Caenorhabditis elegans: one gene and its partner. The protein of the gene in region 2 interacts with the protein of the main gene of each other region in a pairwise test. Each region holds a gene or a part of one and is shown on either strand. Other genes may lie near its edges.

Region 1 (5,077 bases), on a different chromosome or scaffold from region 2:
TTATCATCGTGAGTTCTTACACACTATTTGATATCTGAAGAAATGCTCATTGTCGAATTGAATTGTTGAGTGGACCATCAGATTGACTAATCTTTTTTTTTAATGATTTCGTATTTTTAAACCGAAAATGTTTCAGAATGTTTCTATTGCAACCATTATCTATTTTGGGAAAAAATGCTACACAATCCTCAACTCTCTTGTACCACACACTAGCAAGTCTGAAAAGAATCGACGTCTTCAAAAGCAGTTGTACTTTGCTCTTGTCACTCAAACCCTCATCCCAATTGTTTTAATGCATATTCCAGTCTCTACGCTTTACTTTTCCGCGTTCTTTTGCATTGATCTTGGATCCATCAGCGGAATCGCTCCATTGGCAATTGCTCTCTACCCAACGCTTGATCCACTTCCCACTATGTTCATTATTGGACATTACAGAACTGTCGTGTTCAGTTAGTTATTAATTTATTAATATTAATTGAAATTCAAGCATTGAATATTTCAGATTGGATTTTATGGTTGCCACGAAAATTTGGAATCTGTTCCAAAAATTCGGTAAATCCTGAAATTGATGAAACAACTGTTCAAGATGGACCTGATGCAGTTACCCAAAGTAATGCAATAATTCAAGAATCACAAGTTTAATTCGGAACAATTGTAGTGTTTGCTTCAAATTTTTATAAAATTTTGAATTCAGTTGATCATAATAAACATTTATTCATTAAAATGATAATGCTTTTTTAAAGAATAGGGATTGTGAATAATGAAGAATGTTTTAAAATGTAGTAACTGTTACCTAGTTCATTACATGGTAAGTATTTATTTGCTACATTTTTCTGAGACTTTCACATTCACTACACTTTTCTCTAGAATATTTAATCCCGCTTTGATTTGATAGTCAATAATTTTACAATTTGTCTAATCATTATGAATACCACAAATATTACCAGTAAAACAAAACTCGTCAAGAATGCGATAACATCTAATAAATAATAGGCGGCAAATCCCATAGTTCGAAGATTACTATCTTGTGCCGGCTGCTCACCAAATCTGGAATTCCACGTTTTTATTAACTGTACATGTTATTGTAAACGTACCGAGCTGCAAACTCTGCATGTCTAACAAACAATTCCTTAGGTTTAGTTGGCTGATATTCCAATTTTTTCGCCAATTTCTCTGCGTTTTCCGAGTAACTTTCAGCGAAAAGTATACTATGCAAGGCAGATCGCAAGGTATTATAGTTTTCCAGATTAAATTTAGATATTTCAATTGATCCATTGTGGCGAGTGAGCATTTTTGAGTTGCGAATTTGATCGGCAAAAAGTGGGCACTAAAACTTGGATTCTTAGAGTATTCGTAATTTTTTCACTTATTTACCAAGAGCGCAGGTTTTCCGAGGTAGCTCAACTCATTGACACTTCCAAGACCTCCGTGAGTGAAAAATGCTGAGAGACGGGAATCAGCTGAAATTAGTGACTGACAAAAAGGTTTTTGATATTTTTAAGTACTTACCTAGAAGAGCCGTTTGAGGTACCCACTTGCTAAAAATTATATTTTCAGCTCCATTTGCAAAACTGGTTTCTTCTGATTCATACTTCCAAATAAAAGACACGTTTTTGAAGGATTTCATAACTTTTACCATATTTTCCCTGAAAATTAGATTTTTTGTTTTTGAACAATATAAAAGAAAATTTCAGTGGGGGAAGATAACAGTTCGATGAATGAAACACATTCAGAAAATAATTGCTCACTTACTTATAAAAATCTGGCATATAAATCGATTTGAACATTGATCCAAAAGAAATCAGCACATTATGAGGTCTCTTTTTGAGAATATTGTCCCATTTTTCATCGACTTTCTCACTTTTGAGCTTCTTCACATCTACAGTAATCCCACCAATTTCGATAGTTTTTGAAAGCAGTGGACGTGGAAAGTCTATATAAGGATTTGAGTTTATGAATACATATGGAGCACGATGGTATTCTGACTGAAATTATGAAAACAACTCTCTTTTGGTTTCAAGATCTTTCTTACCTCGACCAGCAAGTCTTTTGATGGGTCTTGAAGAGTTTTCCAGTTTGGAAATGCGATCAAAATTTGACCAAGATAGTAAGATATCGTATTTGTCAGTCGCTCTTGGAAATTCATAATGTTCCCAAAATTTGTGAAGTATCCTGTAAATTAGTAGTGTTTGACAGGAAAAATTTTAATCCAAATGCCTGATAAATAACTAGGGCTAACAGGTTCTCCAATAAGTTCTGCAAATCTGTAGTCATGTGTGATTGAAGTCACTGGGAGGAAGACTGGAATTTCGAGATATTCTTGAATTGCCTTCCCCATGAAAAAGAATGATTCGAAGAAAACTGCATCGTATTGAGGTCGATTATTCTTCAGATAATCCATTTGCGGTAGGGCATGGTCTCGGAAAGCTGAAGAGTACGGTTTTTAAATTTTTTCATAGATCTTTCAAGCGGTGTTATATGATGTTGTCAATATGACAACTGTTTCATAAATCTGAATGTTTAAAATTTTCGAGAAACGTTTTACGAGCGATTGCTTTCCAGTTAAACGACAGAAACAAGAAAAAAAGAGATCTGACTAAAAAATGATGCCCTTTTTGGAATTTGTTGCTCATGAATTCTTTTTTCTTGTTTATGTCATTGTCACATATTTAACTTACTTTTATAGCCATCTTCAGCCATTTTGAGAAACATTAAATAGCTGGGAATCGTTTCCAACATTGTGCCTTCTTGAGTCCAATACCTTGCAAAATCGTCATTTTCCATATTTTCGGTTAGTTGGTCTTGTTCTGTTGTTGTCTGAGATGCAGTTTTTATTGAAAAAAAATTAAATGCAAATTGAATTTACCTCTACGACTACTATGTCTTTTGTTGATTTTGTGTAGGAAATGTTTCGAAACTTGGATGAGATTATAATTGAGAGCACTGTCTGAAAAAATTTGATTAACTGTTCTCAAATATACTTTTAGTTTTTGTTTTCAAGGTTTTGAGACTTTCAGCATATTTCAATATTTAAGACGTACCACATTATGTCCAGCTTCTGTTAGAGAATCAGCAAGTTTTCCCATAAATGTAGAATGGCTGTGTCCAAAAGCTGGAGACACTACTAAATAGTTGAATCCCGAAGTATTCGAGATCGAAAGAACAAGCAACAAAATAATTAGTAAGTTCATGATTTGATAAGTAGACAACGAATTTGTGTCTCTGAACAACTTTCCCAGTCTCTTTTATAGATCTGTTAATGTGATTGATACTGTCACAAATTTCCCATTCTGTAGTTTGTGTTGATTATGCTACACTCCAATTATACAGTCACTTTTGAAAACATGATGTGAGTCAGAATAATCGCGAACAAACAGTTAGGTGGGTGGTAGCCCATAGTTGTCACCTGAATTGGTCTGAAAATTCCCGGCTGTCTTTGAAAATACAATTTGTTTATGGAAACGAAACATGTTCACGTGAAGATTTTGTGACTTCTTTCTGTTTTTGAACAATGAAAATTAATGCTATGACACTATCCTAATTTCCATCGTAAACAGTTTAATTGAAAAAAAAGATTCGTTATAGCATGTTTGCACTTTTGATTGGCATTGGTGTGACTTGTTGTCTAGAAATGATGGATTACGTGTTAATGATCGGAAACCGTTAAGTACATATTTGAAATTGAAAAGTGAAAAATGGGAACGGAAATTTCAAATCGCCAATAGTGGTTTTTAATTTTCTCTGTTTTTATCTGTTGTCCTTAAACAGGTTATCAACTTGTTAACTCCGTAAAGACAAAAAACTGCACAGTAGGCAAGAGGAAAGCGGGCGAAGAGGGGGTAAGAGGCGCTTTTTCAATTTTCGTATAACATTTTTTAAATAATATCAGGTGAAATTCCAACTGAAATATTTCAACGCTGAATTCTTTCCCCTCCAGCTGAACTCCAAATCCGAGCGTGAACTAACATGGGTCTTTTGTTTTTAATCAGTTAGCTGTATCCTTTTACAAGTTCTTTATTTTCAAAATATTTACCTTACTTTGAGAAAGCCGGAACTTTTTTCTTAATCATCCTATAAGTAAAAAACAGCTATAAAAAGTTAATACGCGAACACCACAAGAACACAATTTGTAAAAATGGGTTCTGTTCGAGAATATTATTTGACAAACTACACGAAATGTCCAAGATGTGACACATTTCTGTGCACCTGGCAAGAAGTTGCGTACACGTTTCATTCGATAACTATATTTTCTCTACCCTTCTACATTTTTGGAGGATACTGTATTTTATACAAAACTCCAAAGGAAATGAGCTCCTATCGAATTTTTTTATTTAAATTTTTTTATTTGAGAAATGTATTCCAGGACTTGTCTCGTGGACATTTTTCTCAATGTACTTGCTACGCCCTATCTGTTTTTCCCGACTCTCTCAGGATTTTCTGTCGGTTTACTCAACTTTTTGCGTGTCCCTCCAAAAATCCAAGTGTGGCTTGTGTTTCAGAGTTTAAATTGTTAGTTTTTCCTGGAATTCTAGAAATATAAATATGTCGATTATTATAAAAACACATTAACGGGTCGTTATAATATAGAAGCCAGTGTGCCAATGGAACGGTGTAGGGATCAGGCATACGTGCCTGGCGGATGCCTGTTTTTTATTCAGAATAATCTCCGCTCGTCGGCGCTTTAAGGCTGATTTGGAATTTTTACCACCTGCCGCTTTTTTCAAGAGCCGTTCTTTTAATTTAATTCTTCAGGGATGTTATTCTCAATGACAATGCTTTTGGAAAACCGACACAACTCAATTCTATTCAATAGATTCCAAATAACTAAAAACCGAACTAAAATCATATATTATTTGGTTCGTTATCTATCGGGTCTAATATATTCTATGTCTTTACTATTCTTCATACCAGAAGATCAAAATTCCGCACTACTCCAAGTTCTAACCAAAATACCATGCCCGTCTCAAGAATTTTTCACGGCTTCCGATGTTTTTGTATTGTGTATCGATGAGAACTACGTCACGTTCCTGGCACTATTCACAGGGATTGGTGTCTTGACAGAGATAGCTCAAATTGT
Region 2 (3,596 bases):
AAACGGAAAAGTTACAAAAAATTTATATGACGTCAAGAAAAACACATGAGATCAAGTACCGTAATATGTGGGATGCAATCTCAATGTGTCCTCCTTTTCGAAAACAAAACAAAAAAACCATTTTCCTCCTAATGTTTTGGAAACAAAACGCTCCACTTCCTGGTTTCAAATACTATAAAAACAGTGCACTGGAGTTTCTTTGTTATCCGTCAAAATGACTAAGTTGCTCCTGATCTTCCTTGTTCTGACTGCCTTCGTTTCTGCCTCATATTCCTATGGTTCTTACGGAAACCCAGCTCCGCAGTACCCCCAAAACTCGGGATATGAATACCAGATGGATTATGAGACTTGTAAGTGTGTTTGGTAGATTTTTATGATCCGAAACCCAATATTCCAGACGACTTGAAAGATTATCGCGGACCACGTGGATACCGTGGACCACCAGGACCACCAGGGCTGCCAGGAGCTCCGGGACCAGACTTGGAGTGATATAATTGACTATTGCTTTTGCAATTGAAAATGAAATAAATGAATCATAATTGGCAGTAGAAAAAATGGTACCCTTATTAAATCTGAAGCATTCACATGAAACTATAAGGGCATTGTGAAACAGGAAATGATTGATTTTCTGCTTTAACAGTCAACGTTGAAAACCAATCCTAAAACATAAAATTTGGTTGTAAAAGAATGAAAATCGCTCAAAGCGGTATCTGCGGCGCATAATTTCCAAATCAGTTTCATTTATTTTTGACGACGATTCAGAGGCTAAAAGTATCTACCTGATAACTACTCAAGTCGGGTTGATAAGTTTTTTAAGGAAATTATGAAACGGAATTTTTTTGTTTGGAAACATATTAAAATAGTACTTCTTATATCAAAATGTGTGTTTATAATTTAAAAATGAATTTCTTCTAATCTAAACAAATTTTTAATATTGAATATTTTTCCGTATTTCTTTCTGAAAATCTAATTTTAAAAAAACTATTTCTTTCTTTACATCAATTGAGAATGCAATTTGCGTCTGTATTTACAGCCAACATGAAACGGCAAGATTTAAAAAAAAAACATCAGTATCGTTGTGATCATAGCGTGTTAAGAACTTCTTTGCAAAACCAGATGAATTTTTGTTTTATTCAGGAATTTTTTTCTTGGTGCTACGGTAGCCGAATTTTACATACGAAGTTTGAAGTCTGAAGCATTCACATAAAACTATAAGAGCATCGTGAAACAGGAAATTATTTTTTCTGCTTCAACAATTAACGTTGAAAACCAGTTTGAAACCATTCAAGTTAGTTGTAAAAGTTTGAAAATTGCTCAAAAACGTGTCTGCGCCGCATAATTTGCTTATCAGATTCATTTATTTTTCGCCAACGATTCTCAGAATTGTGGCAACTAATCACTATTACAGACTAGTTTTTTGAAGACATCATGAAACTGATTCGTTTTTCGGAAACATATTAAAATAGTATTTTTATATCTGAATATTTTTTTTTTCATGCAACGATTAAGTTTTTTTTTCTTGAAACATCAATTGAATTATAAGAGCATGCTTTTTGAGAGTCTTCTTCTACTGATTGGAATCAGCAATTTTCGTCTATTTTTAAAGCCAACATGAAACGGCAAAATTAAAAAAACATTTTGCAGAGCAAGATGAATGTTTTTTTTTAATCCAGGGAGTTGCTTTCTTCTTGCGCTACGGTAGCCGAGATACCAAATCGATTAAAATCATGTGTGATGTTAGATGTCTAAACATACATGAGGTGTCCCCGGAAGTTAATCTTTACCAACGCTCCCGAATTTTCTATGTTTTCAGACATGGTTCGTCACTTCCTTATACAGTCCTGCTATAAATATTGAGCCCAAACAGATCCAGAGCATCGAAGAAAAATGATCAAGGCTTCTCTTGTTTTTTTCGCTTTCTTGGCTCTTGCTTCCGGAAGAAGACACCATTATGACTATTATGATTGTGAACGTAAGTTTTCTGAAAGCATAAAATTCGTAATCCTAAAATTCAGCTGAACGCGGGCCGCGAGGGCGTGAAGGACGTGAAGGACCACGTGGAGCTCAAGGTGCCCCAGGGCCAAACGGAACCGGATTTTTCTGGCCAGGAAGTGAGCAACTTTAAATATTTATTTTTAAACAAGGTTTACTGTTTCAAAGGATTATTAATTTATTTTCAGCATGCGAGCAATCCGATTGTCCAGACGGTTGGATCTCGGTTAATCGAAAAATCAATAATGATGTAGAAAAGAAATGGTGCATCAACATGTTCTGGAACCAAGCAACCAACGATTTATATAAAACCTCGGAAAAAGTGTGCAACAGCTATGGTGGTGTGATGACTGGATTCAAGGACAAGGGGGAATTCATTTCTGTTTTTGGTGAGTTAGGTCGTGGAGTATAAAATAGTTTTTTTTAAGTGTAACGACATTTTCCAAAACAAATGAGTTTTTGGATAGTCCATATTCCTTGCCTAAAAAAATCCTTGTAAATTGTTTACCCAAAAATGAAATTCCCAAAAAATATAAGCAGACAATTATTTTCAGCTCTACTCAAAAATCGATTCCCGAACATTAAACCTGTATCACAAGTTATGATTGGGGCACGCAGATTGGAGACATGTGCTTCGATATCGAATTTTGGCAATTGTACGATAACAAAGGTATGCATCAATCTACATGCTATATTGATCATTTGTTTTCAATCTACAACTGTACATTTCAGGGAACAAAATGGACTGATCTTGTAATGTCGATTGATTCCTTTTTCAATGAATTGCAGCAATCTGCCCGTTTCTCACCGTAAGAAACATCTCAAAGCGCAAATAAATTAATGTTTATAGATTGAAAAAATGTATTGTTGCCAATCCGACAAACTTAAAGTTATATGTGGCCAAGTGAGTTTCTCACTTATAATTATTTGATAACATAGGTATGCTTGCAGCTGCAACGTTTTGGAAAGTGACTATCCTCAGGATTTGTTCATGTGCGGAAGATTCGCTCCGTGTAAGAAATAATTTATGGAATTGTGTGTTTGCAACTATTCAAATAAATATGTCAGCATTCAATTTTAAAGCATTGAAAAATCTTTTAAAAAATTATGTCGAACGTCATAAAATAAGCCATCTCTCTAAAAATTCAGCACATTTTTTATAAAGTTGCAAGTTGAAAAAGTCAAAACTGAGCAGGCCCTCGTCTTACAAAGTTATTTTGCAACATCCGTCATTTAACGGGCTCCAACTTGTGCTTAAATGTGTCTAGCAATAATAAGAAAAATTGCAAGAAAGTTTTCATTTACTCAAACAAAATTGATCTAAAAGAGCAACATAAGACTTTGAAACTGGTTTGAGAAATTTCACTGCTACTATCAACAATATTTATGAGCCAATTCAACATGTTTTGCAGTAAAGACACGAGGAAACTTACAAAAACAAAAATTTAACTGCAAAATAAAATTGTCTTTCTAAAACTATTAAATATCATCTATTTTAAAGCATCTTTTGCACATATCGCATACGAAATAGGAGTAGTGAACGATGTTCCGCACCTGAATTTAAAGTGGTATTTTTGTTTGAAACATTATAACAACTCACTCGA

What was found.
Region 1: the proteins of clec-190 (region 2) and ugt-41 interact in a two-hybrid assay, tested with the Caenorhabditis elegans proteins (one large-scale study listed by BioGRID).

The regions. Positions count from the first base shown.
Region 1 is NC_003283.11:7,160,375-7,165,451, forward strand, and holds ugt-41 (glucuronosyltransferase), read right to left. Parts: upstream 3,222-5,077; 5' UTR 3,192-3,221; coding exon 3,042-3,191; intron 2,948-3,041; coding exon 2,867-2,947; intron 2,818-2,866; coding exon 2,679-2,817; intron 2,428-2,678; coding exon 2,218-2,427; intron 2,173-2,217; coding exon 2,033-2,172; intron 1,986-2,032; coding exon 1,753-1,985; intron 1,647-1,752; coding exon 1,510-1,646; intron 1,461-1,509; coding exon 1,375-1,460; intron 1,328-1,374; coding exon 1,095-1,327; intron 1,048-1,094; coding exon 873-1,047; 3' UTR 694-872; downstream 1-693. Other genes in the region: str-204 (Serpentine receptor class r-10), read left to right, coding at 1-8, 137-449, 503-642; srh-83 (Serpentine Receptor, class H), read left to right, coding at 4,136-4,310, 4,351-4,509, 4,753-5,077.
Region 2 is NC_003282.8:15,124,400-15,127,995, reverse strand, and holds clec-190 (C-type LECtin), read left to right. Parts: upstream 1-1,874; 5' UTR 1,875-1,887; coding exon 1,888-1,972; intron 1,973-2,015; coding exon 2,016-2,111; intron 2,112-2,180; coding exon 2,181-2,381; intron 2,382-2,546; coding exon 2,547-2,662; exon of another isoform or gene 2,663-2,669; intron 2,670-2,724; coding exon 2,725-2,801; intron 2,802-2,842; coding exon 2,843-2,896; intron 2,897-2,943; coding exon 2,944-3,016; 3' UTR 3,017-3,065; downstream 3,066-3,596. Other genes in the region: M199.9 (uncharacterized protein), read left to right, coding at 215-350, 398-489.